3 linked regions of the Macaca mulatta genome follow. The protein of the gene in region 2 purifies or fractionates together with the protein of the main gene of each other region. This does not show direct contact. Links are inferred from orthologs where the notes say so. Each region holds a gene or a part of one and is shown on either strand. Other genes may lie near its edges.

Region 1 (9,915 bases), on a different chromosome or scaffold from region 2:
GCTGGGGTGAGGAGGGCAGCCAGCTCAGACCTGGGGAGGCCTGGGAGGCTACGGCATCTTCGGTGTTGGGCAGTGCTGTTAGAAACCACGAACATTACTCATCTGGCAGCATGTGTGCACATGGGGTGAGCCGGGGGTCTCCTCGAATGCGGCGTCTACGCCCGGGGATTGGACGCACTGTTACCGATTCTGTCCTGGGAGATTCAGCGGTAACCTACCGGGCAGAGGCCGGCACGCACCCGTGGAGAAGCCCGCGCTCGCGATTCCTCCTCGTGCCAGGGCCCCAGGGCACGGAAGGCCCACCGACCGTGAGGCGGGTCAAGGGGTACACAGGGTGCGAGTTCGTTAGGCAAAAGCTGGGTACAGGCGCGAGCCACAGGCACGGGAACCTCGCGCCGACCGGGGCCCTAGGCCCGACGACCGCAGGTAAGGGGAAGTGGAGGCACACATGGCTGGGACGTGCCCCAGGCACCATCCGGGTGGCTTCGGGCGCGGGACGTCCGCAGCCCCGCAGCTCCCAGGACGCTCGACCATCTGCGGCTGATCAGCTTCGGCCGGTTTGGGGATAAAGGGGAGACAGGCGGCGCGGGGAGTGGGAACGCCTGAAGGCCGCGCCTCTCCTTTCAGGTCGGCCAGGAGCGCACCGGTAAGAGCCAGGGGGTAAGGGGTAGAAAGACGCCCACCTCTTCAACCCAGAGCTCGGGACTCCTATACAGTCCCATAGGGAACAGGCGGCCGCCATTCCCCTCCCCCACGCTGGCGGGTAAGGCTAGAGAACGGTTTCAAGGAAGACGCATGCGCATGAAACAATTATAAACCGCTAAGACTCCCAAGTTCAATATTCGCGGGAAGGCGCATGCGCAATAAAAAGCCCGGCGGGTTTATGGGTGGGGGTGCTGCGCCCAAATCCCAAGCGTGTAATAATCCGCCGGCGGACGGTGGGCTGGCTCTTGAAACTACGCATGCGCCAGAGCTCTTTGTGACGCAACGGGGCGGTGCGGGCAGCTGGCTGCGCGTGCGCAGAACTCGCACAAAGGGCCTTATTTAGGTTGCGCAGGCGCCCGCTGGCCATTTCGTCTTAGCCACGCAGAAGTCGGGTTTCTGGGTGAGTCTCGGTGGGTCCTCGCTTGCAGTTCACCGACCACCGTGGGCGCCGTTTTTGCGAGGATTGGTTGTCCTCATACCTCTGGGAGGGCCACGGGGACCTTGGCGAGCTGCGGGCTGCCATCGAGAGCCGCGAGTGGTTCGCTGAATGTCGGCACCGCAGCTGAGGCCTGCAGGCCGCGCCGACTCTATTGTGTGAGAAGTCGGAGGAGGCGGAGCGGAAGCGGCCGCCGCCATTTCCTTTCCTCCACGCTGGCTCGGCCCGGGCCCCCACGGTTCGGGGCGCCGACGGTTGCTGCTCAGAACAGCTTTTGGGGGTCCGGCCGCCGGACGAGGAGGTGTTGGGTATTGGAGCCGCCGGGGTGGGTGCATCCCCCCGGTTTTTGCTTGGTGGGGGGGCCGGTGCGGGCCCGGGGGCGCCTCGGAGGCGGAGGACAGCTTAATTGGCGCTCTCAGGTCTGGTCCTCCCCGCCTTGCAGTTTGTTTCGACGCCGGACCGCGTAAGAGACGATGATGTTGGGCACCGAAGGCGGAGAGGGATTCGTGGTGAAGGTCCGGGGCTTGCCGTGGTCTTGCTCGGCCGATGAAGTGCAGAGGTTTTTTTCTGGTGAGTTAGAACTAGGACGCGGGAGTTCGAGTTCGAGGCCGGGGCGGGCGGGCTGGCGGGCAGCCGGGCTGGGGCGGGGCGGGGCGGCGGGACCCGGGGCGCCCCCTGGCGAGGCGCGGGCGACTGCACTCACCGCCGTGTGGCTCGCGCCCGGCCGGCCGCGGTTACGCAATGGAATTTTCGAAAGCCCCGCCCGTCCTCCTGGCCCTGCGGGGGGAGTGCGGCAGATCTGGCAGACCCTTTGATTTCTTTACTACCTTTGAACACCAACTTTTCTTTTATGGATGTCGTTTTTCTTTTTCCTTTGTGTTGGGAGTCTCTGTCACCCAGGCTGGAGTGCAGTGGCGCGATCTCGGCTCACTGCAGCCCCCGCCTCCTGGGTTCAAGCGAGTCTCCTGCCTCAGTCTCCCGAGGAGCTGGGACTAGAGGCGCGCACCACCACGCCCGGCTAATTTTTGTTTTTTTAGTAGAGACGGGGTTTCACCATTTTGGCCAGGCTGGTCTCGAACCTCTGGACCTCAAGTGATCAGCCCATCTCGGTTTCCCAAAATGCTGGGATTACAGGCGTGAGCCACCGCGCCTGGCTCCGGTGTCTTTTTGCGAAAAGATGAATTGGCATAGGTGGGTTTCCTCCTCAATCTCGAGAAAATTGCCGAGTAATTAGACCAATAATAGTAATGTTTTTCAGTATCTTGAAGTGTAATCTCTTGTTTCCAGTTCTGGTGTTTCCTTGAAAAGGAGCATTCTTCGGAAAGTTAAAATGTCACGTCTTAATTTCAGTTTTCCTAATCAAGATTTGGTAATTGAAGAGTGTGTGCTCATCTAGTTCTTAATTTGGCTGACTATACAATTGAAAACACTGAAACCCAGGGAAGTGTTTTTGCAGTCCCTAGGTTTCCTGAATATTTTCTATCAGAATGTCCTTGTTCCCATTATTAGACTGGGAAAAATTAGACTGATAAAATTCTACTTGTATGAAATTGACAGCTTTTGGCAAGACGTTTGTAGTGTTGACTTACTATCTGAATTTAGCATTGGTAACGGAAAACGACCTGTAAAACAAGAACCAAGTACACTGGAAGCCACCTTGCAGGGGGCAACGCTGGGTTTGGCTTCAGCTGTGCAACTTGGAGCATTTTAGCTTGGTAACACTGATCCCCTTTCAGGTGAGTATTGGGCCTGTAATTTGGATTTGAATGAGAAACCGTAATGTGGCTGCTGGTAAGGTAAAACTTGACAAACGCGCCAGACCAGACCAAAGCAACTCGCAACGAAGTAGGTTTGCCATAAAGTCACAAAGTCCAGGCTTGATAATGTTCTGAGAAATTGATAAAAGATGTGTGATGTGGACATAAGTAGCAGGGACTTAAGAGAGAAATTCATTCTGAAACTGCTTTGAATATTGTATGTTGTTGATGGGTTGGAAATACATCACCTTGGGAATGAGGTTTTTTTTTTTTTATTGGAGTTCCAGGAGTTGGTAATACCATCATTATATGCAGGCTTCACAAGTTACGTAATTTGTAGTGGGGACACGGAATAGACATTTAATCTGTGTCACCCAGAGGTGGTTTTAGGTTTTAAATTCCGTATTAACGGTTGTTTTCTTTCCAGACTGCAAAATTCAAAATGGGGCTCAAGGTATTCGTTTCATCTACACCAGAGAAGGCAGACCAAGTGGCGAGGCTTTTGTTGAACTTGAATCAGAAGATGAAGTCAAATTGGCCCTGAAAAAAGACAGAGAAACTATGGGACACAGATATGTTGAAGGTTTGATTTACATTGCCCTAGTTACAGTAAATAAAGCATTAAACAATAGAGGTCTTACCCCTTCTGAATTTTAGGTATTTGACTGCATGGAAATGGTCATCTAAGGGAGTTTGTGGCAGCTCTTCCTAGCTTATCTAAAGACCCAGGAAGTCTGAACTTTGTTACCTAATTTTCCAAAAGTGACTAATTCTAAGCACCTCTTTCAGTATTCAAGTCAAACAACGTTGAAATGGATTGGGTGTTGAAGCATACTGGTCCAAATAGTCCTGACACGGCCAATGATGGCTTTGTACGGCTTAGAGGACTTCCCTTTGGATGTAGCAAGGAAGAAATTGTTCAGTTCTTCTCAGGTATGTAGTCCTGTTTGTTGATGAGCAGTGAGTTTTGGCTAGCTTCTGCAAGGTGATTTAATAGACCTTAAAGTTGAGTAGCTTAGGTATTTCAATAGGTTGTGTAAATTGCCAATGAATTAATGTTTTCTTCCTAGAGACCTTCAAATAATTTAAGCCCATCTTAAAGGTGGAAATGAAGTACTTCCAAAATGTTAACTTTGCCTATATTTAGTATTATAGTTCAGAGTAGATCTTTCATTGAGGATTGCCCTCAACAGCTTAACTGCTTTTCCTCACATTGGTGTCCAGCTAAGTACTTCACGTTAAAGGTAAGATCCCTTAACATCAGATTAGTGTGACGAATTAGGTTGTTGTAAATTATGGCAAGTGTCTGTGTTGTTGCAAGAGACACATTTGGGTCATGTGACCAGAATGGTCTAATTCTCTTTAATGCAGAAGTCGATTTATGAAAGACTTGGTTTAACCAGTGTGATATAAACTTACTGAAAATCAGATGTAGTGAGAGTAGTTTGAATGCTTGTAGTCTCAGTATCTGAAATAACAAAGTGTTTTGAAATTGTTCCTGGGCCTAAAGTATTTGAATGTTTTTATGCTGAAGAGCTGATAAGATTGCATGTTTAACAATGTTAGATATCGTATATTTTAAATAGTAATATTTATGATGTGATACACTGGAAGCAAGAAATCCTTTCATGGTTTAGTGTAGTATGTTAAAAATTTATATATGTATCAAGTCCTAATGTCAGAATTTTAAAAATCAAGTCTTGTTTTGTTTTTACTCTAAATTGGTGAGAATTGAATGCTATCTGTCAACGTTAAATATGAACATAATTTCATATCTTCTAGGAAAGTGCTTTAAGTCCTTTTTGTAAGCTTGGGAATGTATCCACGGAAAGGATTTTTCATAGACGGAATTTCCAGAAGTGAATCATAACTACTGTTAGAGCATAAGCATGCATGATTGTGCTGTGTAGATCAGTTTTGTTGAAAGTTTAGATTGTTATGTTTGTCAATTATAATTTAATGTTTTAGTTTTTATATGAAATGTTTAAATGTATACCTTTTTAAAGACGAAGTTCCAATAACTTAAAGCATTGAAATATAAAATGAGGTAAAAGGTGTTTTGAATTTAGTAAAACTGTTATTTAATGCTTAAAACTTAATTGAATTCTTGTATAATTCTCAACATTAAGTTGCATAGATATGTGTTCTTAAGTTGTTGAATTCTTAATGCATCCTGCGTTCAGCAAGTTTTTTTTTTTTTTAATTTATACTGTACCATGGGTGTGTTAAGAATAGTTATACTTCGTAATAATGGAACTTCATATTATTGCAATGCATATTTAAAGAGTACTTGTTGAAAGCATACCATTCACCTAAAGTTAAAAGTTCTGGTTTATTTAAAGCTATAAGAAGAATCATTTCTGGGCTTGTGATGTTAATATTGCCCCCCTACTGGGGTTATTTGTCCTTGGGTTGAAGGGTTGGAAATCGTGCCAAATGGGATAACATTGCCGGTGGACTTCCAGGGGAGGAGTACGGGGGAGGCCTTCGTGCAGTTTGCTTCACAGGAAATAGCTGAAAAGGCTCTAAAGAAACACAAGGAAAGAATAGGGCACAGGTGGGGATGGATGGTTGGTTGGATATGTCACTTTTCTTATGGTAAACAATTAAATCCATATTCTCTCTGCTTAAAAGAAGAAATTAATGTTTTGTAGTCCTAGGTAATTGATGTTTTGCCATGATTTCCAAACTTTTCTTGTGTCAGTCCCATGTTACACGCAAACTAAATTTTAGGTTTAAAATTTGTCCCTAGTTAATTGGTCTACTTGACAATTTTGTGAGTCTTATTAACCCCAATCAATAGAGTTGAGAGACTATGGCTTTAAAAAATTAATGCAAACCTGGCTTTAGCTGTAATAACACCCACCTAGAGTAAATTAATATTACCATAAGAAAATGTGATACTTTCTGATCTTGTTTTTAAAGTTGAAATGCAACAAACTTTTTCTTGCTGTATATAAATATTCTGCATAGTATTAATAAGCATAGCTTTCAAGAAATTGTCACAAAAGGTTTTATTCTCTTTGCTTGTGACTATTTTTCATTGAAGCATGCGCTTACCTATGCTGATTCTTACTAAAAGCATAGGCTGGGGTATTTATTGGCGAAAGGAAATGTGTAGTGTGGGCTAGACTGTTGGTGGAGGCTGGCTTTTTAGCCCACTTGCTATACATGCTGCCAATGGATTTAAGACTTGAAATGTTGAAAGTTGAGTGGAATTATTTCCCTCCTAGAACGTTTATTTACAGTACTCCTCTCTACCCCTAAGGTTGGGCTCTGCCTCAGGAGGAGTGAGTGTTTTTTTTCTGTAAAGTTTACATTGTCTTACTATTTATTGAGTGAATTTCTGGTCATTGCCTATGCAAATATAAGAAATCTGGCTTTAAATATTAGTCAGTTTCATGGCTATGACTAGATTGTATTTCTTGTGTAACTAAATACCTGTATAAAATGAACTAATGTTGTCTCTCCCCTCCCTACCCCTTCCTTATGAACGATGCTTTAGGTATATTGAGATCTTTAAGAGCAGTAGAGCTGAAGTTAGAACTCATTATGATCCACCACGAAAGCTTATGGCCATGCAGCGGCCAGGTCCCTATGACAGACCTGGGGCTGGCAGAGGGTATAACAGCATTGGCAGAGGAGCTGGCTTTGAGAGGATGAGGCGCGGTGCTTACGGTGGAGGTACGTGAGGATTCCCAGGGTTTGGCAAGTAGTCTGTTCCTTTGTTTAGGTGTTTTGTTTGATGGATTGTACTTTGTCTTTCAGGCTATGGAGGCTATGACGATTACAATGGCTATAATGATGGCTATGGATTTGGGTCAGATAGATTTGGAAGAGGTAAGGTAAGAATTGAATTTCTCAGTTGAAGGATGCTTACACTCTTGTCCATCTAGACCTCAATTACTGTTTTTCAGGAATGTCTGATCACAGATACGGGGATGGTGGCTCTACTTTCCAGAGCACAACAGGACACTGTGTACACATGCGTGGATTACCTTACAGAGCTACTGAGAATGACATTTATAATGTAAGTGTAGGATGAACTCACAAGTCTTATTTCAGTATGGCAGTAAAAGTCTGAGCCTTACTCTATAAATGTGAGCACTGTGTTAGAAATTGTAGTTTTATTTTGTAACATTAGAAAGTTGATTTAATTCTTTGAAATGCCTTGTGTTGTAGTTTTTTTCACCACTCAATCCTGTGAGAGTACACATTGAAATTGGTCCTGATGGCAGAGTAACTGGTGAAGCAGATGTCGAGTTTGCAACTCATGAAGATGCCGTGGCAGCTATGTCAAAAGACAAAGCAAATATGCGTAAGTGTGATTGAGCGTTTGTGGGCTCTTAACAGGTGATTGTGTGACTAACATTTACAATAGAGAAATGGAAAAATAAGGATATATGAGAAGTTTCCTCTCCAGTAATAGATTAATTCTTGGGGGATGGGGGGCAGTGGGTTGAAGAAGGTTTGGGTTTTAAAAATTAGTCTAACGGATTTGTGATACGCACATCTTGAAGTTTATATCCTTAATTGACAACATAGATGAATATGTAAAGGCTAGATATTAGAGTTAAAGTAGATCACCTAAGAGAAGTAGCTAGAATTTTCTTTGCCAAGGTATTTGAAGTTCACAGATCTGCTCGTTTAAAAACTTTATAAAAGTGCTTATCCTGTTGTGTTTCACCAACAAACATTTTCAAACTTTTTTTTTCTCATTTCAGAACACAGATATGTAGAACTCTTCTTGAATTCTACAGCAGGAGCAAGCGGTGGTGCTTACGGTAGCCAAATGCTAGGAGGCATGGGTTTGTGTAAATATCACTTTAGTGTCTTTTTTTTAAGCTAACCTTGTATGCCTTTTCTCTCATTTCAGAACACAGATATGTAGAACTCTTCTTGAATTCTACAGCAGGAGCAAGCGGTGGTGCTTATGGTAGCCAAATGATGGGAGGCATGGGCTTGTGTAAATATCGTTAGTTTTTTTAAAAACCAAAACGTTTATATCTGTATAAGTCAATTATAAGTTGTTAATCTATTTAATAAGTTTAGCATAACAAACTTAGGCAAAGAAAGCAGTTTCTTGATATTTGAATTTTGTATCTGGCTTACTTAAATCTTTGTTATGAAGTTCCTTAGGATAGATAATTCAAATTAGATTTAAGTACTCTTGGGGGAGGGGACTACGGAGTGAAACTACTTAAATTTTCTGAGTATAAAGTTTAAATAGCAAAATAGGATTAAGATAAATGTGGGCATAATTAGGTGTATTGACGTGCCTTTGATATATCTAAGGGGGAACCCCACTAAATCTAGTCAGGCAGTTTCATAAGATCTTCACAAAATGCCTCTACTTAGGGAATCTTGTGGGTTTTAGTCCTGCTGATGTATATACCGTTAGCACTTTGGTTTATAAATATTTGAGTAGCTCAAATGATGGATAGAAGGGTAGCCCGGTTATAGACAGTAGGCAGAAGGAGGCAGAGGGTTATAGTAATATAAGATCAAGACTGGAAAATATAGATATAGAATTACAAGCCCGGTACCACCAGGTACCACATTATGTAAGGAACAAGGTTCTAAAGTTTTCTTAACTTAACAGCAAACCAGTCCAGTTACGGTGGCCCAGCCAGCCAGCAGCTGAGTGGAGGTTACGGAGGCGGCTATGGTGGCCAGAGCAGCATGAGTGGATACGGTAAGCCTGTTTTTTTAAATATACTTAGAATTAAGTTTTAGGCAGGTTTCTTTAGTTGGGAAGGTGCAGGCTCCTTTTTGGTGAAATTGGGTTATTAAATGTATGCTTTCAATCCAAATGTAACTTTTTACTAGCTTAATTTTCAGAAACAATCATTGGGAGGGGGAAGTGTTCTGTGAATAAAAAACTAGTCATTGCAACTTTGGAATACTGTCGAGCCAGAAAATATCTGCCTCCATTTATTAAAACATTAAATAAAGTTGTTCGCTTTTTTATCTTTTGGTTAGCAGTACATCAATTTTAGATGGAGGGAGAATTTGGAATAGTAGAATGGTGGTTGGGTTCAGGACCGTATTTATTAGTTAACCTAGGATTGGTTTTATTTATTTTTTTTCAATTGGTCTAAAGAATGGTGATTTTGGTATTATAGTCTTACCCTACAAAATCCTTTTGCAGACCAAGTTTTACAGGAAAACTCCAGTGATTTTCAATCAAACATTGCATAGGTAAATATTTTCTCAAAAAATATAATTTAAATTCCCAATAGCAAATACTGATATGTTGTAATAATACTTTCTATAGCAGTCAATGGCTCTGACTTAACTCCATGGAGGCTGCCATTTGGGCACAGTGAGTTGCCTTTAGTCCACCTTGGTTGTCTCACTTCCTGCCCACCGTGAATAGGAAAAGCAAGAGACTTCCCCTGTGCTCCCTTTTCTCAAATGCCATTCGAGGGACACATTGTGAATGTTTATGGTAAATTTTTTTAAAAAATGCCTTGTTTAGCTTTAAAAATACGAAGTAATTTTGCAATTTTTGAAAAACACTAGTTTTCCTTTAAACTTAATTTTTCATGTTGATCCTGAAGAATCCGTTAAAATGGTAGCACAAGAGTCTGGCAAGTTGGTACTGCAGAGAAAAGGGGTTAATTGAGGCTTGTTTGGAGTCGGGATTCCCCTTTCCCAAACATGCGTCTCGCCACTTGGACAGCAGCCATTTGTACTCGTATACTTTTTAAACTTTTTCTTGGAATACTATATTTTATTTGACTGGTAGTCTGACATTACTCCTAACTTGTCAAATTGATCTCTTTGCAGGTAACCAAGGAGCAATGAACAGCAGCTACTACAGTAGTGGAAGCCGTGCATCTATGGGCGTGAACGGAATGGGAGGGATGTCTAGCATGTCCAGTATGAGTGGTGGATGGGGAATGTAATTGATCTGTCCTGATCACTGACTCTTGGTCAACCTTTTTTTTTTTTTTTTTTTTTTTAAGAAAAAAAAACTTCAGTTTAACAGTTTCTGCAATACAAGCTTGTGAT
Region 2 (9,915 bases):
GTAGTTGAGCCAAAACGTGCTGTAGCAAGAGAGGTAAGCAAACCATGACTGTCTTGTGCAATTAACATAAAGAATGCTGCCTTGCTGAACATCGGAAAGTATTTCTGAATTTAGATTTAACTCAAGATTTTATTAAAGCTCTGTTGGGTTTTTGGACCATTTTCTGAAGCTAACTTATTTGTCAAAAGCTAGGTCCCTAAAAGCTGTTGTTGTAGATCTGGTAGTTTTAAGGTGGATACAAGCCAAGTATGGTACAAAGGTTGGCTACTTTGAATCATGCTTGTGTTTTTTTCTGTCGGGATGACTTTTACCCCACCAATATTTTAGGAATCTGGAAAACCAGGGGCTCATGTAACTGTGAAGAAGCTGTTTGTTGGCGGAATTAAAGAAGATACTGAGGAACATCACCTTAGAGATTACTTTGAGGAATATGGAAAAATTGATACCATTGAGATAATTACTGATAGACAGTCTGGAAAGAAAAGAGGCTTTGGCTTTGTTACTTTTGATGACCATGATCCTGTGGATAAAATCGTATGTAAGTGTCTAACCACAAATGTACTGTTCTTACCATGTATTCAATTTTGTGTATGTTAACATCTAATTTTATTGAAAGGTAAACTTTTAAAGTTGTTTAATGTTGTTGATTTAAAAGGAGTTTGAATTTTTCATTGCAGTGCAGAAATACCATACCATCAATGGTCATAATGCAGAAGTAAGAAAGGCTTTGTCTAGACAAGAAATGCAAGAAGTTCAGAGTTCTAGGAGTGGAAGAGGAGGTAATTTCAATTCTGTTTCTTCAATTCTGTTTCTTCTTTATTTTTATTCATGTAAGGGCTTGCTTCTAACTGGGGCATTTATTGTAGGCAACTTCGGCTTCGGGGATTCGCGGGGTGGCGGTGGAAATTTCGGACCAGGACCAGGAAGTAACTTCAGAGGAGGATCTGGTAAGTTCAAATTCTATGTGTTTAAAGGATGAGTGTGCTTTTATTTTAAATATGATTAGGTTTTCATTAGTAGAATCAGGAAATCAACGTAAATCAAAACCTTTCCCTAAGACTTCAAATAGATAGTATCCTGGCAAGTTCCTGTGACTTGGCCAGACAAGAAGTTTAATAGGGTTGTGTTAATAAGTTATGTTTATCTGGATTGATAATGTAAAATGAAGTGTCATCAGAAAAGCTTTGGCCCCATGAAGTGTCATTCTTATGTATAAATGAAATGGAATCTCTAAAATTGAGACTTGTTCAGTTAAGAGTTCAAAATTTAGGTGGTAATGAGATTTAATTATATGCTTTCATGTTTTGTGAATAAACTAGTAGCACTAGCGTGTGCTTTTCTGAGGTTCTTAATTATTGTGCTGAGGTATTAAGAGAACTGAAAAAATGAGTGTTAGTAATAATGGTGAACAGCTTATAGTAAATGTAATCTTTTTTGCTCCCTAACAGATGGATATGGCAGTGGACGTGGATTTGGGGATGGCTATAATGGGTATGGAGGAGGGCCTGGAGGTCAGTTTCCTCTATATTTTGGTTTGTTTATGTGACTAATACTTAACCATATTGTATATTTAGTTCATTTATATTTTGAGTTTTTAAACATTTTATATTGCCCCTTATAAAGGGCTTAGGTGATAGTGGTCCAGTTATTTCTTTTATAAGTAATTTGACGTCTTAGTAGTTACAGCCTAAGGAATACAGTGCTATTTAAAATGAAAATTTAAAGATAATCATCACAGTATTCCATCTTAAGCAAAATAATTGGATCTAGATATGTTTTTGTACTGTGCTTTCTGGAAAAGTGCAGAAGACTGGATTTAACTGAGTAAAATCTAAGGGGGGAGAATACGTAGGAGAAAAATGTAAAATATGTCTAAACCCTTAACTAGATGGTAAGCATCCCAGGAGAACTTTCAAAAAGTAACCTAAGGAAATTTTCCAAAATGTTCACTGTGCTCCTGGCTACAGATAAGGTTGTGAACTACCATTGAACCTGAAATGTGATATAATAAATATATCAGTTTTATTGGCGTACAGAAAAGGCTGGTGCCCAAGACAGATTTTGTGATAAGGAAGGGACATTTAAAACTATGAGCTGGTAATAGACTTGATTTCTGGTGTTGCCACTCATTAGGTGTGACTTAAGTTCTACCAATTTTAGAGAAAGCTGAGTTCTTGTATTTAACTACAAGTAATTTGAGACTCAGCCCACAACAGAAGCCTTTTTTTTTTTTTTTTTTTCCCTTTTTATAAGGTGGCTTTTGTTTTTTTGAGACAGCCTTGCTCTGTTGCCCAGGCTGGAGTGTAGTGGCGTGTGTCTGCTCACTACAACCTCTGCCTTCCCGGTCCAAGTGATTCTCCTGCCTCAGCCTCCTGAGTAGCTGGGATTACCGGTGTGCACCACCACGCCCACCTAATTTTGGTATTTAGTAGAGACAGGGTTTCTCCATGTTGGTCAGGCTGGTCTTAAACTCCTGACCTCGTGATCCGCCCACCTTGGCCTTCCAAAAGTGCTGGGATTACAGGCGTGAGCCACTGTGCCCGGATGTTTTGTTTTGTTTAGGTTTTGCATTATGTGAAAGTGTTTCATTTGTCCCTACTTCTGTTTACAGTAAAGAACATACTGTGTAGAGTGTTGCGCCTATTTTTTTTTCTTTGAGATGGGGTCTGGCTTTGTTGCTCAGACTGGAGTGCAGTGGTGTGATCTTAGCTCACTGCACCCTTAGCCTCAAGCCATCCTCCCACCTTAGCCTCCTGGGTAGCTGGAGCTACAGGGTGCACCACTGTTAACCAGCTAATTTTGTGTTTTTTTGTAGGGGTGTAGGGGTTTTGCTATGTCGCCCTGACTGGTCTTGAATTCCTGGGCTCAAGCAATCCACCCGCCTCAACTTCCCTTACTGCTGGGATTACAGATGTGAGCTGCTGGGCCTGGCCAACAACATTGTTTTGTTTTGTTTCAGAGAGAGTCTCTCTCTGTCGCCCAGGCTGGAGTGCAGTGGCGCAATAACAGCTCACTGCAACCTTTGCCTCCCTGGTTCACTCCATTCTCCTGACTCAGCCTCCTGAGTAGTTAGGACTACAGGCGCCTGCCACTACAACCGGCTAATTTTTTGTATTTTTAGTGGAGATGGGGTTTCACCGTGTTAGCCAGATGGTCTTCTTATCTCTTGACCTTGTGATCCACCCACCTCAGCCTCCCAAAGTTTACAGGCGGGAGCCCCCGTGCCTGACCGAGAACATTGTTTTAAAAGATGTAATTCGTAGGGAGACATAATAGAAACTTTCTTTTGGGCCAGTAGGGGGAAGTGCTCTTTTACTTTCTCCCTAACCCACACTGCTAGTCTAGCCTCACAACCTTACCCACTATATACATGTAGTATTTCAAGATAACTTAAGATTTTTAGTATTGAGGGAAAGCTGTAGCGTTACAGGTATTTAAGTGGGTACACATGGTGTTATCCATTTGGCTGGGTAGGCACTCTAGCCACCACATGTTTACCAAGGGTAGGTATTCAGTCCTTCAAGCTGTTTTAGAGGAATTTCATTGAATGTTTCACATGCAAACTTGGAAATGGATGTGAGGAGACAGTTCAAAATGGCATTGAAAATATTAAGTGATTACTTAAAGGCTTATTTTATAATAGGTGGCAATTTTGGAGGTAGCCCCGGTTATGGAGGAGGAAGAGGAGGATATGGTGGTGGAGGACCTGGATATGGCAACCAGGGTGGGGGCTACGGAGGTGGTTATGACAACTATGGAGGAGGTAATAAATTCACCTGCAACCTTTATGTGGGAATTTGGAATTAATGGCTTTGTAATACTTGATCTTTTATTTCAATGTTTGTCACTAGATAAAGTGTTTGCTTTTGTTTTTGTGGGAGCTTTGTCCTAAATCCTTAGCATGTGTCTTTGGTTTAATGTTTTTCTGGTTTAATGTTCTTTTGGTTTAATGTATTGTTCTGAGGTCCATTATACTAGTGTTCCAATTTTTTTATAGGAAATTATGGAAGTGGAAATTACAATGATTTTGGAAATTATAACCAGCAACCTTCTAACTATGGTCCAATGAAGAGTGGAAACTTTGGTGGTAGCAGGAACATGGGGGGACCATATGGTGGAGGTAATTTATAACAATTGAGATTTTTCAGATGTTTGTGATTAAAGGATTAGCCTTTTGTGACTTAAAGGGAAAATAACATACTAAATAGTTTGGGTTGTGGGATATACGGTCTTAGTGAAAATAAAGAAATTTTGCATAAATCTCCACAGAAGTACTCAGCAAGCAGTTACAACATCAAATTGGGATTAGGGGTGTTGGAGGTGGGGAAGTTCAGTAGTTCAATTTCTGGTGGGGGCTGGTAAACAGCTAAGTAAAATTGTAACCCACATTGCAAGTGGTGTAAATTGGAATGAGGGTCTTTGAAGTTAAATTATTAAACCATGATTCAAACCATTGCTTAGCTTATTCTTGAGGTTTTTAGCAGGAGTAAACATTTTCTGTGTCTTGGTCTTGGTGTACTTTAAAAAAATCCCTTAGTCCAAATGAGGATGAGAGGACCCTTTATTTAAAAGAATAGCATAGCATCAGCCACGAAATAAAAATGTCTATGAACCTGAGTAATTTATCTCCCAAGTAATTCTGCTAACTGGCTGCAAAGGGTTAGGATCTGCTTGTTTTTATTAAAGACTGGATGGATAGAAAATAGAATCAGCTGTAGTGTTATAGTGATTATGGGAAATCAAAGTAAGTTTGTTTTCTCTTGCTGTTCCAACAATTATAGGAAACTATGGTCCAGGAGGCAGTGGAGGAAGTGGGGGTTATGGTGGGAGGAGCCGATACTGAGCTTCTTCCTATTTGCCATGGGTAAGTAGCTTTTGAGTTTTACAATTATTATTATCTTGGGAGACATAGCTGCAGGAGTAAAAGCTTTTTAGGATCATGTTATCTTTCCTTAAAATCTGGTTAGATGGATAATTTCATAACCTATTTTTTTTTTACTCTTTACTTCTGTTGAAACAGGCTTCACTGTATAAATAGGAGAGGATGAGAGCCCAGAGGTAACAGAACAGCTTCAGGTTATCGAAATAACAATGTTAAGGAAACTCTTATCTCAGTCATGCATAAATATGCAGTGATATGGCAGAAGACACCAGAGCAGATGCAGAGAGCCATTTTGTGAATGGATTGGATTATTTAATAACATTACCTTACTGTGGAGGAAGGATTGTAAAAAAAAAATGCCTTTGAGACAGTTTCTTAGCTTTTTAATTGTTGTTTCTTTCTAGTGGTCTTTGTAAGAGTGTAGAAGCATTCCTTCTTTGATAATGTTAAATTTGTAAGTTTCAGGTGACATGTGAAACCTTTTTTAAGATTTTTCTCAAAGTTTTGAAAAGCTATTAGCCAGGATCATGGTGTAATAAGACATAACGTTTTTCCTTTAAAAAATTTAAGTGCGTGTGTAGAGTTAAGAAGCTGTTGTACATTTATGATTTAATAAAATAATTCTAAAGGAAATTGTGTAATTATAGACTTTTTATTTTAAATAAGTTAAGGAGTGGGTAGTATAATTAAGGTCCGTTGCAAAGCTGTTGTTATATTTGTATAAGATAAATGCTGGTCAGATATAAGTGTGTTGTCTGCAATTCATCAGGATTAAATTATGTAGATAACTTAAGGGATATCTCTGCAAGGAGAAACACCTTTTTAGATCTTTTAGATGCTGCTTCTTCAATGCAAGGAAAGGAAATAACCCCAGCGAGGTACTCTTCAGGGACACAGGTCTAGTACAAGAGAACTCTTGACGGCTACTAAGTTCAGCCAGTCTTAAAAAACTGTGCTGTTTCTACAAAACTTTAACTACAGTAGTTTTTAAGGATGCCAACGAAAGCTGAGGGTGTAGAGCAAAATAGTTCTAAGCTTCAGTTAAACTTCTTTAGGTAAGATCTTATTTACTTTTCCTTTCTTAATTTTCCTCCCTAAAAGATAAACTAATACTCTTAAATGGTCTTTCAGTATAGTGGTTCTTACGTAGTTTAACATAGCTATAAATTGAGTTTAACAATTTATAAACTCAAGAGAATAATTTTTATAAACCCTGTTTTCCAATCTGTCATTTACTTAAATTATTTTGGTTGTTTTTCCCTTTTTTTCCTTCTTTTCCTACCCCCTCCCCCTCCGTGTGAAGATTTGGGTGCTTAACATATCATTTTTTTCCCTGCTGGAATTTTAGCATTGATATGAACCATGGACAAGTATATTCTGCTGCCACAAAGACTGTAAAGTGCTTCATTTCAACAGCTGAGGCAAGCCAAGTGATCATTAATAAAGCTTTTCTTGGTTCCTTCAGTGGTGTTGGTAGTAAAATGGTAGGTAAAAGTTAGGCTGCAAGTTCAATAAATCATGAGATTTCCCATCGTTACACCCTTGTGTATTCACATTTCTTGGATCAAACATTTTGAGTGAACTAGGGGTTTTTATTAAAGACATTTGTTGTATTTATGGTTGTAACTGTACATGCTTATCAGGAAGAGACTGAAGGTAGGGCAAAAATGGTTGAATCTATTTTCAGATAGTAGTTCATACTTGAGTGAAGTGTCTGTCTACATTATGAAGCCTGTATGTATCCAGTACCAAGTAGGTGGGTTAAATGTGGTTATTTTAGTTCAGTGTCTTACCCTGAAGAGAAAGTTGTAGTTTGGCTGTTGAAATTCATTCCTTAGATACCATCAGTTTGATTGCCCGGCTTTATTGCCTTTACAGGAATGTGATACTCAGGGCTTACTCTACTATATGCACCAGTGAGTCTTCTTTGATCCTAAGACCACCACTGAAGTTGTTTAGGTTCTTTTGGACAAACATGATAAACTTCTTCAGATACTTTTTTTTTCCTTTGGCAGGAAGGTGTCTTGCTGCAGGTAACTAATGAAGAAGTGGTCAACCACAGAGTCTTCAAGAAATAAGAAATTCTGTACCATCTGAAAGTAGTTCTTGTTGGTGCCTTCATTTAAAAAGCACTCTTTAAAATAAAAGGGAAATGTTTTCTGATAAAACAAACATTTAGTTCAGGTTCTTGATATAAAACTTAAAAAATGAGTATTGTTTGTAAAACTAACATCAAATTGGCTAGAGAGAGAAATGTATCATGTTTTAAATTAGGTTTTGTGAGTAGACAGATTACAATTCTATTTTAAATATAAAGTTTATAAAATAAATATTTTTTGTATCCAAATACTTGGTGTAATGTTTACACATAAAATGTGTGAATCTTGTTCTATAAACATTCGGTTGTCTAAAAGATCACCATCCCCTAAATTTTTTAAAGCAGTTTGGGGCTATGCATATTTTCTTTTAGTATTAACAGATAAATGAGAAGAGCATTGTGGACATTATTGACTGTCCCCAATAAAATGCTGTTCATTATGCACTGTATATTCAGCGTTTGAGTACTCCTACTAAAGTTTCTGGCTTTACCTTGTATGTTCAGCAATACTGGTGGCATTTTGAAAATCATGGATTTTAAAGGTGAACCGGCCAGAGTGGTCTAGATTAACTGGCTTTGCGAAAGCACTGAGGGCTTAAAATATGTACTAGATTGTCACATGTCAATTAGTTTTATTGTGTTTCACACAGAGTAAATGAATATCAGTGTTTTTTTCTTTTTATGTGTTTATTTGGACATTTATCTGAATTAAGAAAACCAAAAAATAAGGGCCAAGTTAATTGATTTGTTTCTATGATTTGTTTTGGTTTTGATAATTTGAGATCTAACAGGTAAGTCACACTAACAGTGGGTAACACATAGAAAGCACTTTTCTGTTTTAAATAGCTGAATTCATCACAGACTTGTACAAATATCCCAACTTCAGGAAAATTTTGAAGTTTTAAAAATGTTTGGATGTACAAAGACGTTGAACTTTGAAATACATCAGGTTGATATGCATAACCTCAAAATACCAACTCCTATCTAGCAAGGTCAAGGGAATATCACACAAATAGGGGAGAATTAGGTAAATTACACAATAGACTGAAATGAACTGATGGAAGAAGAGTTTACTGAAACATAGTGTAATGTTGGATATTCAACATAGGCTTATTTCCTGTGTGTATAGTGTTGAATCTGTTTTTCTTGGAGAAATTGAAGTTTAAGGTAGTTCTTGTGCAGCTTTGAGACAGTGCTCTAAAATAAAGAAAGGCTGCCTTTTGTCCGGGGCTTTATATTGTTGCTGTGTAACAACTTACTTTTAGAGCAGTTTAGAGAAACAAACTTCAGTATCTATGGGTCAGCAGTTGGGAGCAACTTAACTGATTCTGGGTAAAGCTCACAGTTTGCAATCACAGAAAACTAGGATTGGATAATTTTTTTTTATATATCCAGAGTGGCATACTAACAGGGCTGAAAAGTTAATGCTGGTTGTCATCTTCCCTCGGTGAGTGAGCAAGAAAAGCTGTAAAATGAACACACTACAAAGTAGTCATGCCATCTTACATCCTTTATGGTCACAGAATGTGGTGGGAGGGTTCTATTCACTGGTAAATTACCAAGCAGGCAAGGATCATTGGGAACTATCTTAGATGCTGGCTGTCACACTCAAGGGTGTGCCCTTATTCAGTTTATGCATGAGTGTAAAACCGGATTTCCCTGTGTAAGGTTTTCCTTGTAGCCCAATTCGGTAGATGCCAAATTGCTTGACCTAATAAATGTTAGGTATTGGGAGCTAACAATGTAAGGCAACAAGTCTCAGTTTGTCACTGATGGTTGAAAAGTGCAAAAGGTAGAAAACACCTATCAGGTCACCTGGAGTGCATGTTATTTAAATTTGCTATCTTTAAGGTTTGGAACTAAAGTACTGGGATGGTTGACAGGCCCTACATAATTTTCACATTTGTACTATTTAGTAATGCACTAACACTGGCTTGTTTGGGAGGGGAATTGGGGTAACCAGTGAGTTGCATGGATTTACCAGAGAACAAATAGTTCGAAAACTGAGATGGGGAAAGAAGGATCTAGCCACTTGAGTGCATTTAGGGAAGTTAGTATTACCACAAAAACCCTGTATACTGGTTCTGTAGCTCTGCTCAACTGAAGCCTGCCTTTTCCATACAATTGGCCTAAAATCTGATCACACTTCGGAAGATGCTCAAGTGACTTTTAATTGGAAAAGATATCCTACCCACTTGGGTTGTCTTTATCCCTATCTTCCTCATTCTGATTAAGACGTTAGATACTGTAATCAAGATTACTCAACTAGGTAGGTAAAGTGGAGGGTCCTAGGCAATGGTGGTTTGGTTTTTGGCATTGACTTTGTAATCTAGTTGGTTTGCACTGGAAAGCAAATGTGGAATTCCTTCTACCTTTAAAACTGGACTGTCGGAAAAGCAGTTCGTTTATATGTCTTGAATCCAGCATGTTAAGATGGAGACGGGGTTGTGTCAGGAAGCCAACCCATAGCCAATTAGATCTTGTAAAGCTGGCTGCTTAATGCACCAATTAAAAGTCCCTTGGTATGGGAGAGGGGACATCAGTTTCAGGAACCTACACTACCAAAATATGCTGTAGTCCTCTTGTATGAAACGTGTATTTGCACATGACCTAAGCACGTCTCATACACTTGAGTTGTCTCTAGGTTACTCTCATTTAATCCAAGATAGAAGCTTGGTAAATAGTATGCTGCATTGTATGGGGAATAACTGACAAAGTTCAGTACAGACATTACTATAAATATATTCCATTTGCAGTTACTTGATCTGTGTGCTGTATTTAAGGTTTTTTATAGCTTAAACTTCAGGCCAGACATGGTGCATAATCTGAGCAGCTTGGGAGGCTGAGGTAGGTGGATTTGAGTTCGAGGCTGGATCTTTGGGGGCCACTGCACTTCAGCAGTGCCAAGACTCACCATGATTACCAATTCTGCTCT
Region 3 (10,645 bases), on a different chromosome or scaffold from region 2:
TTGTTACATTTTTTAGCTTATTTGCTTTTCATATAGGCAAAAGATTATGATAATCCAGTTTTTATGGTACTTTACAATGCCATTGGGGATATGTGAACAAATATCTTAACCAAATTTTCGTTTATGTGCCTTCCCTCCCCCCCAAGGGTGTAATCTCTTTCCATTTCTCTTTCTTTTTTTTCTCTCAGGCTCTGCACGGAATTTTCCTCTCCTCTTCAACCTGATAGTGTAACACATGATCACGTGTTCGTTGTCTTGTTTTCCTCTGGGTCGCATGGGTACTTCTATTTCCTTTTCCTTTTTCATCTTTTCTCTCATTATGGTCTCTAACAAGATCCTCTCCAGGGTCCCTCTGATCTCTGTGCTAACAGGAAAGCACTGGAATGATGGAAAGGAAGACAAAGAAAGTCCCAAAAGCAGCTGGGAGTCCTTGGTTCTAACCATCTCTATGGAAACAATTCCACAGAGATAGGTCTGGAAACAATTCTGTAGGGATCACTGGAGCAGTGGTGAGCCAGTCTCACCAAGCCTTATTTACAGGATACAACTTGCAAATGGGAATAGTTGACAAGATTTTGTTGTTGTTGTTGTTGTTTTAAGAGAAGTAGTAAAGTAGGAAGCCAAATAAAATGTACATTTATGCCTATGTAGCATTTTGTTTTTTGTTTTGAGACGGAGACTCGTTCTGTCACCCAGGCTGGAGTGCAGTGGCACGATCTCGGCTCACTGCAATCTCTGCCCCACCAGGTTCAAGCAATTCTTGTGCCTCAGTCTCCCAAGTAGCTGAGATTATAGGCATGTGCCACCATGCCCAGCTAATTTTTGTAGTTTTAGTAGAGACAGTTTCACTATGTTGGTCAGGTTGGTCTCAAACTCCTGACCTCACGTGATCCACCTGCCTCAGCCTCCCAAAGTGCTGGGATTACAGGCATGAGCCACCACACCCAGCCTATATAGTGTATTTTTTAACTCAAAACTTCCTACTGTAACAATAAAAAGGCAAAGGGAACGTGTAAACCAATTTCAAGTCCTTACTGAGCATGCACATTGGCAAAGAGTGCGTAATCCAAAGAAATTATGGCAAGCAAGCAAGCAAGCAGCAGTTTGGTAGTGAAAAATCATTCATGTCATTAGAATGATTTTCAGATTGTGACCCATAACCACACAAAATATGCGGCAGGAATGCCAAATTCAGTCAGGCAGTAAAACAAATTGAATTCAAGCAAGGAGTGAAGGAGATTACAGAATTCCATCTACCAAATCAGTTTGAAAGACCGAAAGGATAAAAATAGCCATGTAACTTGAACCCAGGAGGACCAAGGGAAGAACTCCATCAGAATTGTGGGAGCTTAGAGTCTTATTAATACAGCAATTATTTTTTTAAAAGGACGGAGAGGGGTTGGGACTCACAGTGTCAGTGATAATGGGACTATAAAGTTTCAGGCCTGTTCAAAAAGTCTCCAGCCAATAAGCTAGTAACCACAGGTCTCCTGAAATGGTAACTCCAGTGTTAATTAGGTGACATAACCTCAATTTTCCAAAAACGATGTCTGTTTCCTTAAGTTATAGATATTTGTAACCTCACGAAGGTTCATAGTGTTTTAAGACCCTGGCCCTTGGGTAAAACCATATGGGCTCCAATTCTAGCTCTACCACTCAACTGTGTGACCTTGGGCAACTATTTTCACTTCTCTAGGACTTAGGCACTTCATCTATAAAATGAAGATACTTATTTTTCAGGGTTGTAAGAGTACAGTGTGTAGGTTATGCTACACACTATACTCAATTTGCTGACTCTTTACAACCCTGAAAAATAAATATGAGCCATTGTTATCACAGCATCCTTGTTTGGTTTTCCATCTCTTTTAATTGTGATAACACTGTCCTTTCTGCCTTCCACTCAGTACTTTTAGGGAGTGGGCCATTGTGGGTATGTGAGCACCATGTTCTTACTGCCCCACACTCGTCTTAGGCAGGTTTGAGGATGAATTAAAGCCTTAAAATGTCTTACATCCTACACACCGCAGATCTCATGGGAGAAAAAATTATACATCCTCCTACGTTGCTAACACCTCTCACCCTACCTCCAACAGACTTCCCAATGTCTGTACCACAAAGTTCAAAGTCTTTTGGCCAGACATTGAAGACTATCTACAATCTAGCTTCACCCACATTTCTAACATTATGCCATCTTCCTGACGCCTTGCACTGGAACTTGCACTGATTTTTTGTGTGTGTGGGAGGGTGTGGGACGGAGTCTCGCTCGGTCACCAAGGCTGGAGTGCAGTGGTGCGATCTCGGCTCACTACAAGCTCCACCTCCTGGGTCCACTCCATTCTCCTGCCTCAGCCTCCTGAGTAGCTGAGACTACAGGGGCAAGCCACCTACGCTCGGCTAATTTCTTTTTTTTTTTTTTTTTAGTAGAGATAGGATTTCACCGTGTTAGCCAGGATGAACTTGCACTGATCTCTTTCCCAGGCTTCCCCTTAACTCTTCGCGCAGAAATTCGGGGTTTTTTTTGTTGTTGTTGTTTTTGAGACAAGGTCGCCCAGGCTGGAGCGCACTGGTGCAATCACGACTCACTGCAGCCTCAACCTCCAGGGCACAAACCATCCTCTTGCCCAGCCTCCCGAGTAGCTGGGACTACTCGGGAGTCCCATCTACTCCCGTGCGCTGCCATCACGCCCAGCTAATCTTTGTATTTTTTGTAAAGACAGCGCCTCACTATGTTGCCCAGGCTGGTCTCCAACACTTAGGCTCAGGCGATCCTCCCGCCTCGGCCTCTCAAAGGCGTGAGCCACCGCGGCCGGCCTTTTTTGGAACTTAAAAAAAAAGGCCATAATGTGTCATTAAGAACCTTAGTGGCATGACTGCAAAACCAAAATGTACTTATTAGGTGTCACTTGGAAGCGCAATTTTCAACAACGCAAAACTATAGAAAACAACCCAACGTCGGCCTCCACAGGCTAATCAGTCCCCGAGGCACTGACGGCGGGAGAGATGAAAATGCGAAGGCCAGAGGAGAAAGAGAGGAAGGATTTGCAGAGAGAACGGAAACGTGTACAGGAATTCACCCAAGAAACCCGGGTCCCGCGCGGCGCACCGGGACGAAGCGCGCTGGGGGACGGCCAGCAGCTCCGGGCCAGAAGGAGGCGGACACCCAGCCCGAAAGCCGAAATCGGCCTCGGTGGACGTTTTCATCTTCGCGGCCCAGAAACACTTCTATTTTTCATTGCACAATGCAAACATGGTGGACCAGAAAATCCGCCCCGCGTCTGCCGGCCGAACCACGTGGCGCCCTTTCCGCGCCGTCGATGCCGAGCAAGGGCGGGGCCCTCACGGAATTTGTTCACGGTGGGGGCAGATCACTGGAGAACTTCTCCAGACCGCGACAGCACAGTTCCTTCTACACACTGGCAGAACTTTCATTGCCATCGCCCCGAGGCGGCAGAATGGTATGCCCCGAAAACTGGATGGTTCTACCGTAAGCAAGAAAGACTGCACACACAGCTCTTTACCTGGACCAGCCTCTGCTCTGTCTACCTCGCCCCCAACAGCTGGGCAGCCCACCACCGCGCAGGCGCGCTTCGTGCTGCCAGCGCCAGGCGAACCTGACTTTCCCGTCTCGCGAGAGTGGGGCCGGCCGCCTTCGCAGTTCTCGCTCCGCCCCCCACTTCTTGCTCGCTCCCTCCCATCCCCCCAAGCCAGTTGCTGTGCTGCGCAGCTCCCTAAGCGGTTGTCACCGCTGGAGACGGTTGGGAGAACCGTTGTGGTGAGCGCTACACGAGGCAAACAACTTCTCCCTTCTCTCGACTGGACCCCGCGAGCAGCAGAGTCGGCGTAACTATCGCCTGACAGGGTATCTGAAGTAAAAGGGGGTAGGTTGGGCTGGTGGTTTCGAGAGCGGAGTCGGGAGAAGGACGAAAGAGGCCGGGAGGGGCTGGGTTGGGGGGTAGTGCGGTGGTCGCCGCTCGGAGGCCCGCCGCTTGGAAGCGGCGGGGTTGCGCCTCCCGGATCATCTCCCACTTCAAGGAGGGCAGCCTGCCGATGGGAGGACTTGCTCAGGTGGAACTCAGTGGACGACGCCGAGGCCCGAAGTAGGGGACATCCAGCATTTCCCCCTTTCCCTGCTGGCTTGGCCTCCGCCATTTTGGGTACAGTGGCGCGGCCACCTCGGCTTCCCGCCCTTCCCCGCTCTTTTTACTTTTTGTCTCCCAGCTTCCGAAAACTGATTCAGAAGGCCAGGGGAGGGGGTGGTCAAAGCTCCCTGGAAGGGATGAGGGTGGGTAGTGAAGCGAGCAGGGAAAGACCGGGCAGTTGGGTGGAGGGAGGATCGGGGTTGCCGGGCGCGCTCCCGATGGAAATGGCGCCGGATGGGCCTGGCCTCCCACCGTGGCCTCCCTTCCTCCGCAGTCTCGGCAGGGCTACCTGGGCTGACGGGACTGCGAGTGACTTCTGACGCAGATTCCCAAGATGAGAGAGGCTGGAGCTGGGGGAGGAAAGCCAATGGCGACGAAGGTGCTCAACTCTCAAATCCAGGACAAAGGAGGCAGACGGCCTCCTTTGTAATTCCGCCGCCCGGTGGCGAAGGGTTTTAAGCCAGGCTTGGCTGCTGGGGGGTGGGGGAAGGGGCGTACTCTCCCTAGCTCTCTGGTCTCTAGGGCAGCTAGATAAACGGAAAGTCTCCTGGGAGGAATAAAGGACGCTTAGCCGGCCCTTATATTCCAGATTTGGAACTTCGAAAAGAGTACGTACTGATTTTCCAAAGGGTTTTTTTTTTTTTTTCATGTTTAAACGTTAATAAGGACTTCGGGGGTGATTTTGTAAGCAGAAAAGTGGGTGATTTATCAAATAGGAATGTGAAATGGGCATGTTTCAAGTAGGTCGTCTGGGCCCAGTGAACTGTGATTGTTGCTTTTTGAACTTTGGGGGTGGGGGTGGGTGATGTAGCAATTGTTTTGCGTAGTTTGGCATCTATATTAGACTTTGTTTTTAAGTTTCACTTTTGGGAAACAGTTAAAACAACCCAGTGATGGTAGATGTGTATGTATGGGAATTGAGTTCCTTTCGATATTAAATCTTCCAAGAGTTGTATTTTGTGCAGTTTTTTTTTTCTTGGCATTAAGGCTCTAGAAGTAAAATACTTCAAAATACGGTTATGGCTTATTTTCTTTTGGTGTCTAGGCCTTTTTTTTTTTTAAATGTAGGAGTATAATACACTGTAATCGTATTTTAAACAAGGGAATAAGCCTATTAAACAGAAAAACAAATTGTAAACCCAGTCACGTGGTGGTGGTGTGATTCGGATGAGGGTCCTGAGAACTGGATCCGTAATTTTCATTGAAGACACAGTGCAAAAGGGACGGGAAAGGCCTGAGAGTAAGAATTTCTGATAATTCATGTAAAACTTTTTAAGAATATTGTTACCTACTTTTCCAGCTCTAAAAACAAAAACTTACTATTGTTGAAGATGTTCAGTGATGCTTTGTCAAGATTGCCAAGGAAAAGTTTACGAAAATCTTACCTTGAAACAGTAGCTTTGAGTGGCCCTTTGAAAAGATAGTCCAGACTGTCCTATAAAGTTGTATATGCTGTAACAAATAGCTTTACTAATTGGATTGGACTACACACACACACCTTTTTTCTGTCCTCTTTTTCAGTTGTGCCATTATCTGGAAGTCCATCTTACTGTCTTTTTAAAATAATGTTATCTTTGATTTCGTTGTATTGGTAAACAACTGACTAAATTGCAGTAGATAAAAACATGGTTCATAGTAAACTAACATTTTAGAGACCGTACCTCCTTAAGCTGTTAGGGGCGTGTCTAGTGTTTTTGTTTTTTTAAAGAGCAAGCCCATTGGGAAGGAATGATGTACATTTTCTGTTAAACTTAGATCATCAGCACTTTTTCCAAAAAATAAAATTCATTCTCATTTCTTGACCACTGGGCTGCCATTTAGAAAGTTATTTATTGATGCATAAAGTCGTTTATGCATTACTTCAGAAGATAAGCTGTGCCTCCGTGTTAAGAGGATTCACTATTTCATTTGTTCTCTAGTAGATGTTTTTTCTTTAATGACTTCGGTATATAATTCACATACCATAAACTTCACCAATTTTAAATGTACATTTTAGTGGATTTTAGTACATTGACAGCGTTGTGTGACCGTCACTACAATTTAATTTTATAACATTTTTGTCACTCCAAAAAGATACCAGTACCCTTTACTGGTCATTCCCCTTGCTGGCATTCTCCCTCCCGTCAAGCCTCAGACAATCATGAATACAAATGGAGTTACACAATATGTAGTCTTTTGTGACTGGCTTGTTTCACTTGGTGTAATGTTTAAAAAATCATATTTAAAGTCTCATAAAACTGACCAAAGCCATCCTCATATTTTAACTGTGGTATATTTTATTGTTACTAGCACCTAGAATTCTTAAAGCAGAGTAGTGATTAGCCATGACATTGTTGCAAAGAAAGGTTGAGGTGGATTATCCTGAATAATTAGTAAAGTGTTTTAAGTAGTTTCTGACAGCTTTATTAGAGCAGATTGCTTCTTCCTGTGCCCTTAGAGTTTTTCTTGTTTTTGTTTTGTAGGTAGGATTTTTAGTTTTGAAGGGGTTGGTAGAGTGAGGCTCTCATTATTGTATGTGCTTTGCATACAGGGTCACCCTGTAAAATAGATTAAGTGTTCCGAATTTGAATTTGGTTGGGTTTTACGCGATTAAAAGTTGTGTTAACAGTTTAGTGTTTATTATAGATAACATCGATAACACTTTTTTGTTTTCATTGGGTCTTATAATTGGTACAGACCGATCCAAAAATCCAATTGGCTTGCTGGTATTTTTTTCTTGTGAATTGGTAAGATTTATGAGTAAAGTAATTTTTTCTTTTTTTCTTTTTTTTTTTTTTTTAAGCATTTGCTCCTTAAATGCAAACTACTAAGATCCTTTCACAACAGATTAAGGTTGAATTTGCAGAGTTCTTAAATTTTTCATGAACCAGTGAGGGTAGATCTGTACCACTTTTTCCGTTATGTGTAAATCCCCCTTTATGGGAAACACTTATTTTTTAGGTTTGTGCTATTTAAAAAAAATAAAACGCTAGGCGTTTTCAAAACATCTCTGAACTTTTTTTTTTCAAACTGGGTTGGGGCCTCCTCCTCTCAGAGCTACTCTTCAGTATTAAACTTTTAAAAGCCTTCGCTGGCTTTGGGAAATAAAATTTTTAACAATTCTCAGTTCTCTTCGAGGTTTGAATTGTTTTCTGTCCTTTAAGGTTCACATATTTTGTGTATGGTATATCTTGTTGGCTTTTGCAGGGCCCCTTAAAATCCAGTAACAGTTGCCATCAGTAAATGCTTAACATGAGGCAGACCAAGCACTTGAAGAGTGCAGTGAGGTATAGATACCACTGCTATAGTTTACAATTGAAGAGGCTCAGAGGTTAAGTGGTTTAGGTAACCAGTGAACGGCAGAATAGGGATTCATACTATTTATTTGTGTGCATATTTTAAATGCATGAATTCTAGGAAAAAAAAACTTTACCCTTTGCAGATGCCACCCCTAAGAGTTGCACCAACAAATAGATGACATGAAATTAAGCATTAGTGAATGCTGTTGATACGAAATATGATCTTCAAACATAAAGGAATCAAATGAACAAATTGTTTTGTTTACAGGGGAGGAGGTGGTGAGGGAAAGGTTTGAAATACTCAGGTGAGTAGGATTCCTACAGCTGCATAGTGAAATTTGTAAGGTTCTGGTAAGTTTCTGCAGCTGAAGGACTTCTGCATTCGCCTCTTTTGTAAATACTATGTAATTTTAAACGGAAGGATGGTTGCCTCTGGGGAAGGGAACTGGGAACTGAAGTCATTTAGGAGGGGAAGGGGGGCTTCTAGATGTACCTTTTATGCTTTATTAAAAAGTATATTATGTATTTTTTAAAGTTTGTGTTTAAATCTATTTGATTAAAAAGCTGAGTAAACTGGTTTCTATACACTGTCCAGTGGCTTCAAAAACACAGGTACTGTTGGAAGGCATTCACTTTTGAGCAGCCTTTGACCTCAGTTTTAATCTAATTCAGTCATTTTATAATCTTACTCTTGGTGAGTTTAAACTAGATTTGGCTAAAATAGAGGTGAGAGTGTTGGCCCTTCAAAGACAGTTTGATGTGTTCAAAATTGTAGTGCATTTAAAAGGGTTAGACTTATGTGATGTTTTTCCAACATGAGTCAGTACTCATTGCATTTTTTACTTAGGTTTTTGATGTTAGTGGATATTGGTATTATATGCAACTTCTGAATAAGTTTTAAAGAATTTGAATAATCAGGTGAATAAAAACCTGAAAAGTGGTGAATCAAAAGTTGAGAGATAAGGAAAGGCTAGAGTTGGCATTCAGGGGACACAGTCAAATAGTTTGAAGACTCTGGTAGTAGCATTATGCAAGTTTTCTTAAAATTAGGCAATACATAATATTGATACTAAGAAATTCAGTACTTTTCCGTAGGAGGGCTCAGGTCTCATTGCTTTTTCCCTACCCCAAAATATGAAAGGTGGTCTACAGTTTTGTCATGGCATTGTCACGGGAGTTGGCGCCATGTTACATTTCCTCTTGTGGCACCTCTGAGAGGTGTTTCTTCATTACCTCTTGACAAGAGTATGTTTTGATTGACTGCTCTATGTGCTTGTTTATTTTTTATAGCATTTAAATCAAACGGTATTGAGATGGATTGGGTTATGAAACATAATGGTCCAAATGACGCTAGTGATGGGACAGTACGACTTCGTGGACTACCATTTGGTTGCAGCAAAGAGGAAATAGTTCAGTTCTTTCAAGGTACCTCTAGTATTAGTCAAAGTTTAGTAATATTGTAATTTTATATTTGTATTGTTTCACTGTTTTTAATTTGTAAAACCCATTTTGATTTTGGAACTTTGAAGTTTAACTATGATAGTCTTGGTTAATGTATTAAAATAATATGCTCCAATTAATATTCAATACAGAATGTGTAGAATATGTAAAACCTAATTAATGTGCAGTAACATATTTGAGAATTGTGATGAAATGAACCGTGAATTAGTATATGGAGCATATATTCGATTTGTAGCCTTTTTTCATGTAATATAGGTGGGCTTTTAGAGTATGTGTAATTACAGTGTTTTTACACTGGTCGCAAAAAAGATTTATTTAATCCAGTATTATTTGAAAAAAATCTTTCATTTGTATTTATGGGGTGATGGGAAACTAAGCTTTTTTGTTTTGTTTTGTTTAGACTTGTTTTAAATATTTGATTCAGATGGGAATGTTTCAGCCTTTAACACTGTTCCCCTTGATGGGGTTATTTGTCCTTGGGTTAAAGGGTTGGAAATCGTGCCAAATGGGATAACATTGACGATGGACTACCAGGGGAGAAGCACAGGGGAGGCCTTCGTGCAGTTTGCTTCAAAGGAGATAGCAGAAAATGCTCTGGGGAAACACAAGGAAAGAATAGGGCACAGGTGGGGATGGAGAGTTTGGGATGGTGTTAAATTTTTATTTTTGGGGGTTGTGGGTCACTATTGCTTAAATGGGGGGGTAGCCATAACATTTTTCTGGGGTAGTTTAAAAGAATTGATAATTAATCTAAATTTAACTTGGAAACTACAGATTTGGGTGGGGAATTAATGCTAATAGTTAAATTAAAAGTAGATTGTTTCCATTTCTCTGTAGGATGTTGTTGATAAATGCTTTTGTATAATCACCTATTTCCTTTAAAACACCTATTTACTAAAAGAGACAAAGTAAAAATATATTTATACTTTATGAATTGTTTTCAGTGACTAATTTCTTTGTAAAACTTAAATATTTTTAAGTTTGTAGGTTTAAACTGTTAACTTAACGGTGTATTTAGGCAATTTAAATTGGGTTATGTATCTAGATGTAGAAAAACTTACTGCATTTTGCCCAGTATCTAATTTACACTAATACATTTATGCTGAAACCTGTACCTTAAAACATTTTTAAATAGGTATATTGAGATCTTCAGAAGTAGCAGGAGTGAAATCAAAGGATTTTATGATCCACCAAGAAGATTGCTGGGACAGCGACCGGGACCATATGATAGACCAATAGGAGGAAGAGGGGGTTATTATGGAGCTGGGCGTGGAAGTATGTATGACAGAATGCGACGAGGAGGTGATGGATATGATGGTGGTATGTGTATCTAATGAACAAAGGTTCTGTTGTCATTTTCTTAATGTTCCTGACACTTTGTCAAGAAATACAGAAATGGCAGTAATTTCAGTACCTGTTAGGTTTTAAAACCTGTTCATGAAAATATGGATTCCCATGGCTAGCTGTGGGACTTGATTGATGCACATATTGGCACCTAGAAAACTTACACAGAAATTAAAATTTAGATGTTGGCGTATTTTGACCTTTTTTTGCTTAAGGATGAAATTTAATTTACATGTCTGAACTTAACCTTTTGAGAGTTTAAATTTCCATCACATGTTGACTGCTTTTTTCATAGACTTTAAGTTGGAAATTGCAAACTTGCAATCAAGTTACACATACTGTTTACCACAAAATGTTTTTGTAAACTGGATTATAAAATTTATCTCTGGAAAGTGTGTAGTCATGTATTTCTCCTTAAATTAC

Evidence for each region.
Region 1: the proteins of HNRNPA2B1 (region 2) and HNRNPH1 purify together in Homo sapiens (affinity purification with mass spectrometry; 5 studies listed by BioGRID and IntAct, with this or other methods). This does not show direct contact. The link is inferred for Macaca mulatta from reciprocal best matches to the Homo sapiens genes HNRNPA2B1 and HNRNPH1.
Region 3: the proteins of HNRNPA2B1 (region 2) and HNRNPH3 fractionate together in Homo sapiens (co-fractionation; 3 studies listed by BioGRID and IntAct, with this or other methods). This does not show direct contact. The link is inferred for Macaca mulatta from reciprocal best matches to the Homo sapiens genes HNRNPA2B1 and HNRNPH3.

Annotation. Positions count from the first base shown.
Region 1 is NC_133411.1:188,575,262-188,585,176, reverse strand, and holds the start of HNRNPH1 (heterogeneous nuclear ribonucleoprotein H), read left to right. Parts: upstream 1-24; 5' UTR 25-426; intron 427-1,070; exon of another isoform or gene 1,071-1,466; intron 1,467-1,583; 5' UTR 1,584-1,614; coding exon 1,615-1,711; intron 1,712-3,325; coding exon 3,326-3,481; intron 3,482-3,687; coding exon 3,688-3,831; intron 3,832-5,316; coding exon 5,317-5,455; intron 5,456-6,403; coding exon 6,404-6,582; intron 6,583-6,666; coding exon 6,667-6,738; intron 6,739-6,794; coding exon 6,795-6,928; intron 6,929-7,080; coding exon 7,081-7,216; intron 7,217-7,622; coding exon 7,623-7,682; coding exon of another isoform or gene 7,683-7,712; intron 7,713-7,774; coding exon 7,775-7,864; intron 7,865-8,500; coding exon 8,501-8,593; intron 8,594-9,049; coding exon of another isoform or gene 9,050-9,099; intron 9,100-9,690; coding exon 9,691-9,809; 3' UTR 9,810-9,915. UniProt on the Homo sapiens protein: This protein is a component of the heterogeneous nuclear ribonucleoprotein (hnRNP) complexes which provide the substrate for the processing events that pre-mRNAs undergo before becoming functional, translatable mRNAs in the cytoplasm.
Region 2 is NC_133408.1:102,192,029-102,201,943, forward strand, and holds the end of HNRNPA2B1 (heterogeneous nuclear ribonucleoproteins A2/B1), read left to right. Parts: coding exon 1-33; intron 34-327; coding exon 328-538; intron 539-677; coding exon 678-779; intron 780-866; coding exon 867-947; intron 948-1,448; coding exon 1,449-1,511; intron 1,512-3,643; coding exon 3,644-3,763; intron 3,764-3,997; coding exon 3,998-4,120; intron 4,121-4,781; coding exon 4,782-4,843; 3' UTR 4,844-4,864; intron 4,865-5,020; 3' UTR 5,021-7,390; downstream 7,391-9,915. UniProt on the Homo sapiens protein: Heterogeneous nuclear ribonucleoprotein (hnRNP) that associates with nascent pre-mRNAs, packaging them into hnRNP particles.
Region 3 is NC_133414.1:81,430,188-81,440,832, reverse strand, and holds the start of HNRNPH3 (heterogeneous nuclear ribonucleoprotein H3), read left to right. Parts: upstream 1-3,693; 5' UTR 3,694-3,859; exon of another isoform or gene 3,860-4,747; intron 4,748-8,707; 5' UTR 8,708-8,730; coding exon 8,731-8,842; intron 8,843-9,365; coding exon 9,366-9,504; intron 9,505-10,013; coding exon 10,014-10,198; intron 10,199-10,645.